Drosophila melanogaster: one gene and its partner. The protein of the gene in region 2 interacts with the protein of the main gene of each other region in a pairwise test. Each region holds a gene or a part of one and is shown on either strand. Other genes may lie near its edges. The genes, in order: Polr1C and Polr1D.

Evidence for each region.
Region 1: the proteins of Polr1D (region 2) and Polr1C interact in a two-hybrid assay, tested with the Drosophila melanogaster proteins (2 studies listed by BioGRID).

The regions. Positions count from the first base shown.
Region 1 is NT_033779.5:4,967,109-4,970,796, reverse strand, and holds Polr1C (RNA polymerase I and III subunit C), read right to left. Parts: upstream 1,794-3,688; 5' UTR 1,713-1,793; coding exon 1,573-1,712; intron 1,513-1,572; coding exon 651-1,512; 3' UTR 586-650; downstream 1-585. Other genes in the region: l(2)05714 (lethal (2) 05714), read left to right, coding at 13-585; Scox (synthesis of cytochrome c oxidase), read left to right, coding at 1,972-2,365, 2,429-2,790; eIF3i (eukaryotic translation initiation factor 3 subunit i), read left to right, coding at 3,104-3,106, 3,284-3,688.
Region 2 is NT_033779.5:19,132,523-19,137,419, reverse strand, and holds Polr1D (RNA polymerase I and III subunit D), read left to right. Parts: upstream 1-2,186; 5' UTR 2,187-2,439; coding exon 2,440-2,490; intron 2,491-3,143; exon of another isoform or gene 3,144-3,598; coding exon 3,599-3,646; intron 3,647-3,936; exon of another isoform or gene 3,937-3,993; coding exon of another isoform or gene 3,994-4,011; intron 4,012-4,068; coding exon 4,069-4,368; 3' UTR 4,369-4,395; downstream 4,396-4,897. Other genes in the region: DCTN6-p27 (dynactin 6, p27 subunit), read right to left, coding at 4,396-4,897. UniProt on the Drosophila melanogaster protein: DNA-dependent RNA polymerase catalyzes the transcription of DNA into RNA using the four ribonucleoside triphosphates as substrates.

The DNA of each region.
Region 1 (3,688 bases), about 14 Mb from region 2:
TTATACCTACAGAATATGATTAAGGGTGAACTTGTCAAAGATGAGCATGACCCAGACTTGGAGGCCTCCATAATTTCACCCAAAGCAAAGCCCAAAGCCAAATCAAAGACCTATCCAAGGCAAAAGCCAAGGAGCAAAATGCAGCCAAAGATCAAGAACGACACGAAGGTGGAGAGCATGGAGGAGGAGACGGAGGAGGACGAAATCGCCTCGAACGACTCAATCCTGGATGATTTACTCAGAACAGATCAGCCCTATCAAGAGCAAGAATTTGAGGTTGAGAACGAGTTCCTCGAAGTACAACAGAATGAAACAGATCTCCAGGACCAAGAGGTGGTCTACGAGGAAGAGATGATACAGCTCAAGCCGGAAGATACGGAGATTAATAACGAATACCAAGTCGACGCGATGACGGAAGACACCATTATTAGTGAATTTGACTTGTTTGGCAAGAGTTTGGCTCTGCAGCTGAACAACATGGACCTGGAGGACGCACTAATGTGCCAGGAGCGTCTGCAGGTGGTCCTAACGGAATTTCGCCTGAAGGTGCTCAAGCGCAAGAGAGAGCAAGCACGATCTTCGTAGGCTTACAATTTATATCAAGCTGTCTTATGTACATAATATAATTTCTTTAACAACTAAATAAATAACTATTCTGCCTCAATTTCGTCAATTAGCGCCCGGCACTTTCTCTTCAATACCTTGACCGCCTCCAGGAAGATGACATCGGGCTTCAGTGCGCCGACTGATTCCACGGAGAAAATGTAGTGATCTCGGATACGGGCCAAAGTCACAGCGTCGTTTAGCTGGGGATAGCGATACACATTTCGGCTGCACGTGTCGTAGCGTGCATCCTTTACATAGGCAGTTTCATTCTCGTCAATGCCAATTACTCCTGGTGAGAAACAGTTCTGTAATAGGTACGCATCCTTACCGGTCACCTCGCGGTTCAGCTTAATCATGGGCAGCAGTCGGTAGGTGGCCGTGGCCACCGGCGAGAATTTCGCGTGATCCCGTCCAAGTCCCTTAACCGCCACCAGGCGCAGATCCAACTCGTGACCCGGACGCAATTGGGCAATCAGTATGTCATCGTGAATGCAGTTCACAGCACTCTCGCTGTATATCTGCGCCTGCTTTCCTTTGGGCAGCCACTTCAGATGACCCGAGTACACTTTGTGGTTTTTGTAAATGTCATCGAAGTTGGACTGATCTTTTCCAGCATCCCGTCGCCGCGAGCACTTCACCTTCAGCTCAAATTCAAGCGTATCCTGCTCGGTCCCCGCCTCAGTGCTTTCCTCGGTGCGGTATGCGAATAGACGGGGATCAGCCCGCAACGGAAGTAGACCCATTCGATGGGCAAGTACCTCGTCCTGGATGATCGAGGTGTTGTTGTATATGTACACCTTTTCGATGGCCATGCTGGGCACATCGCTGAGCATCAGGCGACGGAAGGCATTTGCAATGGCGGGATACACGCCAATCAGATCGAACTCCAGGCCGTCTTCGTCGTTTCTAGAAGTGAACACCAATTGTTAATCGACTCGTAAGATTCTAATTTCTATTGAGATTTACCTGACGATTTTGATGTGCAGCTTTTCCTTGAAAGCCTGAACGGAAAATACATCGTCCGCCAGTCCATAGTCCTGCGGATCCTGCTTCACCCGATACTCCTCCATGTACAGAAGCGGCTCCTTGCGATTTTTGCTTGCCATTTGCCCCGGTGTTTTTATTAAATAATTTAACAAAATTGAACCGCACGTGTTGGAATCAATAAGACCGCCTTCTAATACCAAAATATACCAAACTAACTAACAAACTAACTAATATACTAAATAAATATACTTTATGTACTAAATAAATGCTGTTTCGCCGTGACTGGCTGAATAGGAAGAAGCAGCAGGACACCGGCGATATTTTTATTTCTCCAGAAGATTTACGTAAAGCCTTCAAATTTCTGAAACCGGGCGTAAGATGTCCCGCTCCCTGCAACGCTTAGTGGGCAGCTGTCGTCGCTGGGCACAACAGCCCGCAATTCGTCATTATGCCGCTCCCGCAGATTCCACTAAAGGCAAGGGTCCGATCTCTTGGAGAAGTCTGGCCGTCATTGGAGCCCTTGGAGCCGGAGGAGTGGGCTTCATGCTGTACGTGAAGAGCGAGAAGGATGAGGCGAGAATGAAGGAGCGTCAGCGGCAATTGGGAAAAGCAGCCATCGGCGGCAGTTGGGAATTAGTTGATTCGCAGGGAGCTGTTCGCAAATCGGAGGACTTCTTAGGCAAGTGGCTGCTCATCTATTTTGGCTTCACCCACTGCCCGGATATTTGTCCCGATGAGCTAGAGAAGATGGCCGCCGTCGTCGATGAAGTTGGTAAGTAGAGCCTGACTATTTCTTCCAAACCCAAAAAAAACCATGTTTCTCAAACCTTCACAGAAAAGTCCCCGCAAACGCCAGCAGTGCAGCCCATCTTTATCACCGTTGACCCAGAACGTGACTCCAAAGAGGTGGTGGCCAAATACGTAAAAGAGTTCTCCCCCAAACTGCTGGGACTCACGGGAACCGTCGAACAAATCCGCAAAGTGTGCAAGGCCTTCAGGGTTTATTTCAGCGCTGGACCGCGGGACGAGGACAACGATTATATTGTGGATCACACCATCATCATGTACCTGGTCAATCCCGATGGCGAGTTTGTCGATTACTACGGCCAAAATCGGGACAAGGACCAGTGTGTGGCATCCATTTTGGTGAACATAGCCAAGTGGAATTCAATGAACAAAAAGGGATGGTTCAGCTAGGCTGGCTAAGCTAGGCAAATGTTGTTTCGTTGTATTTACTTAATGTATGGCATAAAATATGGTTTTTACTTGATGTATATCAAGTTTTAAATCCAAATTTTCGTTTATATTGGCTATACCTTAAGTTCTAGATTGTAAAAATTTCTGGTTGTTCAAAATAAACTTGATTAACGGTATTTTTTAGATCCCCCTGGTATATCGAAGTGAGATTTTGACTAGGCCACGGTCACACTGCTCTTTTGGCGTGTAGTGCTGCGTGGATGTTGTTGCAAAAATATTCGTTTTCTCGCAACAAATAACAATATAATACAAAATGGTGCGTGCCTGGTCAATGACTACACAGTTTGCATTATTCCGGATGGGTTTCTTTAGAATTTACCCGAAATTACAACTATTTGCAAAGTGTGAAAGTCGTGTGAAATTCCGGACCAAACATAACCTTAAAAGCGGCCTAAATTGTTGCTAAAAATTCGTATTATTCTGTCTTTTATAGCGTCCGTTGATGCTTCAGGGCCACGAGCGTTCCATAACGCAAATCAAGTACAACCGCGAGGGCGACCTGCTCTTCTCCTGCTCCAAGGATCAGAAGCCCAATGTGTGGTACTCGCTGAACGGAGAACGTTTGGGCACCTACGATGGTCACCAGGGTGCGGTCTGGTGCCTGGATGTGGACTGGGAGAGCCGTAAGCTCATCACCGGCGCCGGTGATATGACCGCTAAGATCTGGGACGTCGAGTACGGCACCGTTATCGCCTCCATTCCGACCAAGTCATCGGTGCGCACCAGCAACTTCAGCTTCTCGGGCAACCAGGCAGCCTACTCAACGGACAAAGCGATGGGACAGAGCTGTGAACTGTTCCTCATCGATGTCCGCAACGCCGATTCCTCGTTGTCGGAG
Region 2 (4,897 bases):
GAGATTTAGGTAACTTAGTTGAAGGATTCGCTATTCTAAGCCAACATCATAGACTTTAGGCTTATAATCCATGTAGCTTTAATAATCAATAATTAGAACTATTTTTCACACAATATGTGGAATATACAATACATATGTACATACATGTATCATGTATATGTACATACATATGACAACTAAATGATCTACGGTTTGTTATTATATCCTCCTAAAATATGGCTAAATTTCGATACCCGACACAACGAAGACCAAAAACAAGGAAACCCGAACAAAGGCGAAACAAGAGAAAAATGCATGTGAGGTTTTTGTTTGTTTTATGTCTCTCTGCCGGCGTCGCTGCTGCTGCGTCTGGGCAGCGATCACGCACACATAGAGAAGCACACAGAAGAAGGAGGGAGAGAGGAGGGGACTCAGCGCAGCTTCCTTTTGACTGGCTCTTCTTACAGAGGAAAAAATGATGTGGCTGTAAGTATCACTTGTTCCTATAGATCTTAAATGTGCAACCAAGTGATTGTGTGTTATTTAGTATTGGCATTGTTGTAAAATTTATTACATCACAAATTATCAAATAAATTTATTAATGCACTGATTAACAGTAATGGTACTAAACTCGAACCTATTAATCAAATATTGCACTTTTCGGCTTAAAAATTTGTCCTGTTGTGTAGTTACTTTACTTGGTTTTTATGTTGATTTTGGGAATTCTAAAAATGCTTGCAGCTTCATCCTTCTGCGTCTCTGTCTCCTTCTCTTCTCCTCGATTCCCCCCACCCCCTATTCGTGGCCCGCATCGAATGCAGCAGATGACAGGTTTTCGCTCTCCTCCGCCCCCTGCTTTGCTGTGCTCTCCGGCTTTATGGCGCTCCCCACCTCCTTCGTGACTCGCTGCACAGGATGTTGGAATATCACGTCGTCGTGTCCGTGTTCCCGTCTGTTCCTTGTTCTCGTGCTCTTCGTCTTCGTCTTGTGCCATTGCCACTTCACCTTTTTTGTCTGCATTCGAGCTAAAGGGGCTCCCCTTTAGCCCCTTCTTCACCTCAGCTACTCCTTCCACTTCCTTTCGCTCCAAAACTGTCTGTGTATTTTATTTTATTTCGTTTCGTTTGGCTTTCGATGTCTGCAGCATCCTTGGAACTTTCTGGCACAGTGGGCCCAACAAAAATATTGCATGCACCATTGATAAATATAGATAAATGATCGAAAGAACACACCATTGCTATGTTTACTGACAGAATTATTTTCAAAAACTCGTTAAGCATTTATTAATTTACCAATAGAATCGGTAAAAACCTTAGTACCATTATACATAGAATTTTTGTTTTAAAATTCAATTTATAACCTGTCCTTGTCAAGTCAGCACACTGTGTCTACATCGTGGACAGGTATTTTGTACCTCAAGTGGATTATTTGCAATATTCATGGCACAAGGTGGAATATACACCACCCTTGGGAGGACTTAAAATTTCGGGCTCCCCCTCTTTTATAATTTATTTTCACGTGCGCAGCTATACACAAAAAATACTTTTGTATTTTGAATTAATATAATTTTAAAATGGTCTACCGTACTGCATCCTTTTTCTATGCGTTTATTACTTTCTACTAGTTTTCGTTTATTATACGTTGAAAAGATATATTACACACGAGGTGGTGAATTGTTTACGAATCAGCTTCGCGAGTAAATGCTAGGGAAGTTATTTTCTCTATGTACAGGCCATAGATCGCTGTTGCTATGTACATATGTATGTATGAATGTATATATTAGGTTGTGTTTACATACATATTTACATGGGCCCTCTGGATCGTATTCCCAGAACCATTTCGCACTTCTCTTTTTCGTATTCTCCCTTTTTGCCACGATCGTGACGGTTATATGCAGTTCCTTTGTTGTAACCACTACAAAGCCAAAATAATTGCAAACTCAAAAGAAACCCATAAAAGCAAGAATAGAGTTAGCCCAGGAGAGAGAGCAGCCACTTTTTTCGGCCAGGAGAGAGCAGCTGCCTCGCTCTCACTCACACACGAGCCACAAAAACGCCGGCTCTCAATACATACATATATACATACTTAAACTGCAGGCCATGTAAAAACAAAAACAACAAGGCAAAAGGGCGCCCAGCATAATGGGGGAAACGAAATGGAAGAGGAACGCAGCCTAGACTAAATTGCAACAACTGCAAATTGGGGGGAACGCATGGCGCCAAACGAAACGTGAGACAGACTCGCGCGCACTGCCATACATACACGAAAAGTGATTATTACAACACAAGCGCTGCGGCGCGTGGGCGCGAGGAGGGGGAACGCATGAGATAACGGAACATGCTGCCGCATTAGTCACCACCAAAGCACAACAGATGTGTGTACATGTGTGTGTGTCAGCTACCACCGAACAAATGAGTGCAAAGGAGTTAGCAGGATGCCGAGAAGGAAGCGGAGAGAGGAATGGCAAGGGGCAGGGGAGAAGAGCATAGCAACCAGTGGAAACAAAATACAGTGAGTATTGGCTAAGAGCTATTGGGTATCTTTGCAATAAAGTGTTGCATACCCTAGGGAGAAAAATATTTATAAAAATCTTATTGGATTAAAAAACCATACATATTAACGAAATTAAATAAAAAATATTTTTAAAATTTTACTGGAAACTACGTAAGATCATATTTGATTGTATTCAACCTTTTGGTTATATGCATATAAATCGTAAAGTACATGTTAAGAAACCGAATACTGTTATTCTCGTAATTGGTAATTGAAGATGCAGACTGCGAACGTGAATGCAAAGTGCCAATTAGGAAATTTAACAATTTGGAAATAAAAGTCTACATTATTGGCAATAACTAACGAAAAGCAGAACAGGAGGCACAGTAACGAACAAGATAAAGCTTTAGTTGAGCCTCTGAACTGGTATTTTTTAGCCATCACTTCCGCCTTCGCGGGCAACAGCGTCGACGGCACGGCGGCAGAGGCAGCTGCCTGTTTGCAGCTGTGTGCGTGCACAAAAATAAAAGGGCGCATGAATTTGCATAATTTTCGGAACCAGATGGGGGGCGTGGCCGTCAACAAAATTGAAATGACAACTCGAGCTTTTCAATACCGCTTATTTATGTATGCGATGTTATTAATAAGCACATGGTGGGCATTAAACAAACCTGTATTGCAGTCAATTCCTGATGGAAACGGCGAAAAAGCATGTAAAATGAATTGCCGATTCGTCGTTGTATGCGTTTTTCCCGAGTGTCGGTGTTTTTGGAGCAACTTCACGTTGAATGCATTGCGCAAATAATTATGTTTGCCGTTGCAGTTTTTTTGTTTTTGTTTTCTTCGCTCCGCTTCGCCTCTCTGCTTCTTTCCTTGCCGCCTTTTCTGCTGATGCTTTCAAACAAACCAACACTCACACACGTATGCAGAAGGCGGCTTGCAATTATGCTAATGCGGCTGTTTGCGACACTTTTTCTTCTTTTTTTTGGCCGACACCGCACAAAACTGATTTCGCAGTTGGCCCAATAAAATTGGCCACAGAACAAAGCGAATTAAGAAGCAACACACACAATTCAATGCTCTGTCTGAAAACCGCGTCCGTGTCAGAACGCGTCAAGAACTGGAGCTGGTGGAGACATCGGCGCGCTATCGATACATCGATGACGTTACCACGGTATTTATGCATTTACTTAGAAGTAACTCATTTGATTTTCAAGAATTAAAGTCAATGTTGGTATGACACTTGGCACAAGCAAACAGTAGGAATGTTTCAGAAGACATACTCTTTTATACATACACAACTTAAATTTAACAGTTTTTTCGGGAAGATATGGCTAAGTTTTACTTAAATTCAAAATGGGATAGGCATCTCTAGTTTTTAGCTACATTGCATTCCAATTGGAATAAGCCGTCCTTAGCTACTTAAATCGATATGTTTCGATGACTCTAACATCGATTGCCGAGGCATGTGCCCTGCACGTTTTTTGTAAACAAACGAACGAGTATTTGAACAAACTGAAAATGGGAGCATTGGCAGAGGTAGACAATGCATTAAATATGCAATGTGAGTAATTAATTCTTAAATACTTTCCCCAGCTGGCTGGTGATGAGAAAAACGGCGAAGGATCTCGTACTTTTGTGTTCACCAACGAGGGCCACACGCTGGGAAATGCGCTGAAAACGATCATAGCCCGCTACCCGGAGGTGGATTTCTGTGGCTACACGATTCCGCATCCCACGGAGCAGAAGCTGCACTTCCGCATTCAATCCCGTCGAGACAGAGCCATAGATATACTTAAACGGGGACTGGAGGATCTGGAGGGTCTGTGTGATCATACAATCGTTACGTTCGAAAAGGAGATGGCCGAGTTTAATGCAATGAAAGTGGAAAATTAGATATATATGTATAAAGAATACTTAAAACTAAACCACGCTGCGCGCCTTCTTGGGATCGTAGTTGGGCTTGCGTAGATGATGATAGTTTGGCAGGACCTTGCGCAGGAAGTCGATCTGCAGGGTCTGCGATCCCTGCTTGTCGATGGCCTCGCGCTGCAGGCCCTGCTCTCCATAAACAATCGTGTTTTCGGGCAGGCGTTGACTACCATGGATCTTTATTCCAGCTCCCACCACACAACCGCTGGAAACAGTGACACCGGGGCCCACATAGCACTTGCTCTCGAAGACGTTCTTATCGCCAATCTTGGCCGCTTCCACTTGGCAGCCGACTTCAAAGACATTGTGAGTGCCAATGCTCAGGATATTGTTGACATCCCAAACGGCGCCCGGCTCCAAGCGGTGAGCTACGGTGGCATATTCCTCTATGATGCAATTCTCCCCAATTATTATGGGACCTGCGTCGGCGATAACGGTGGCACTCGGATGAACCACACAGCCCGACGAGAAGGTGATGTCACCGCGCAGGCTG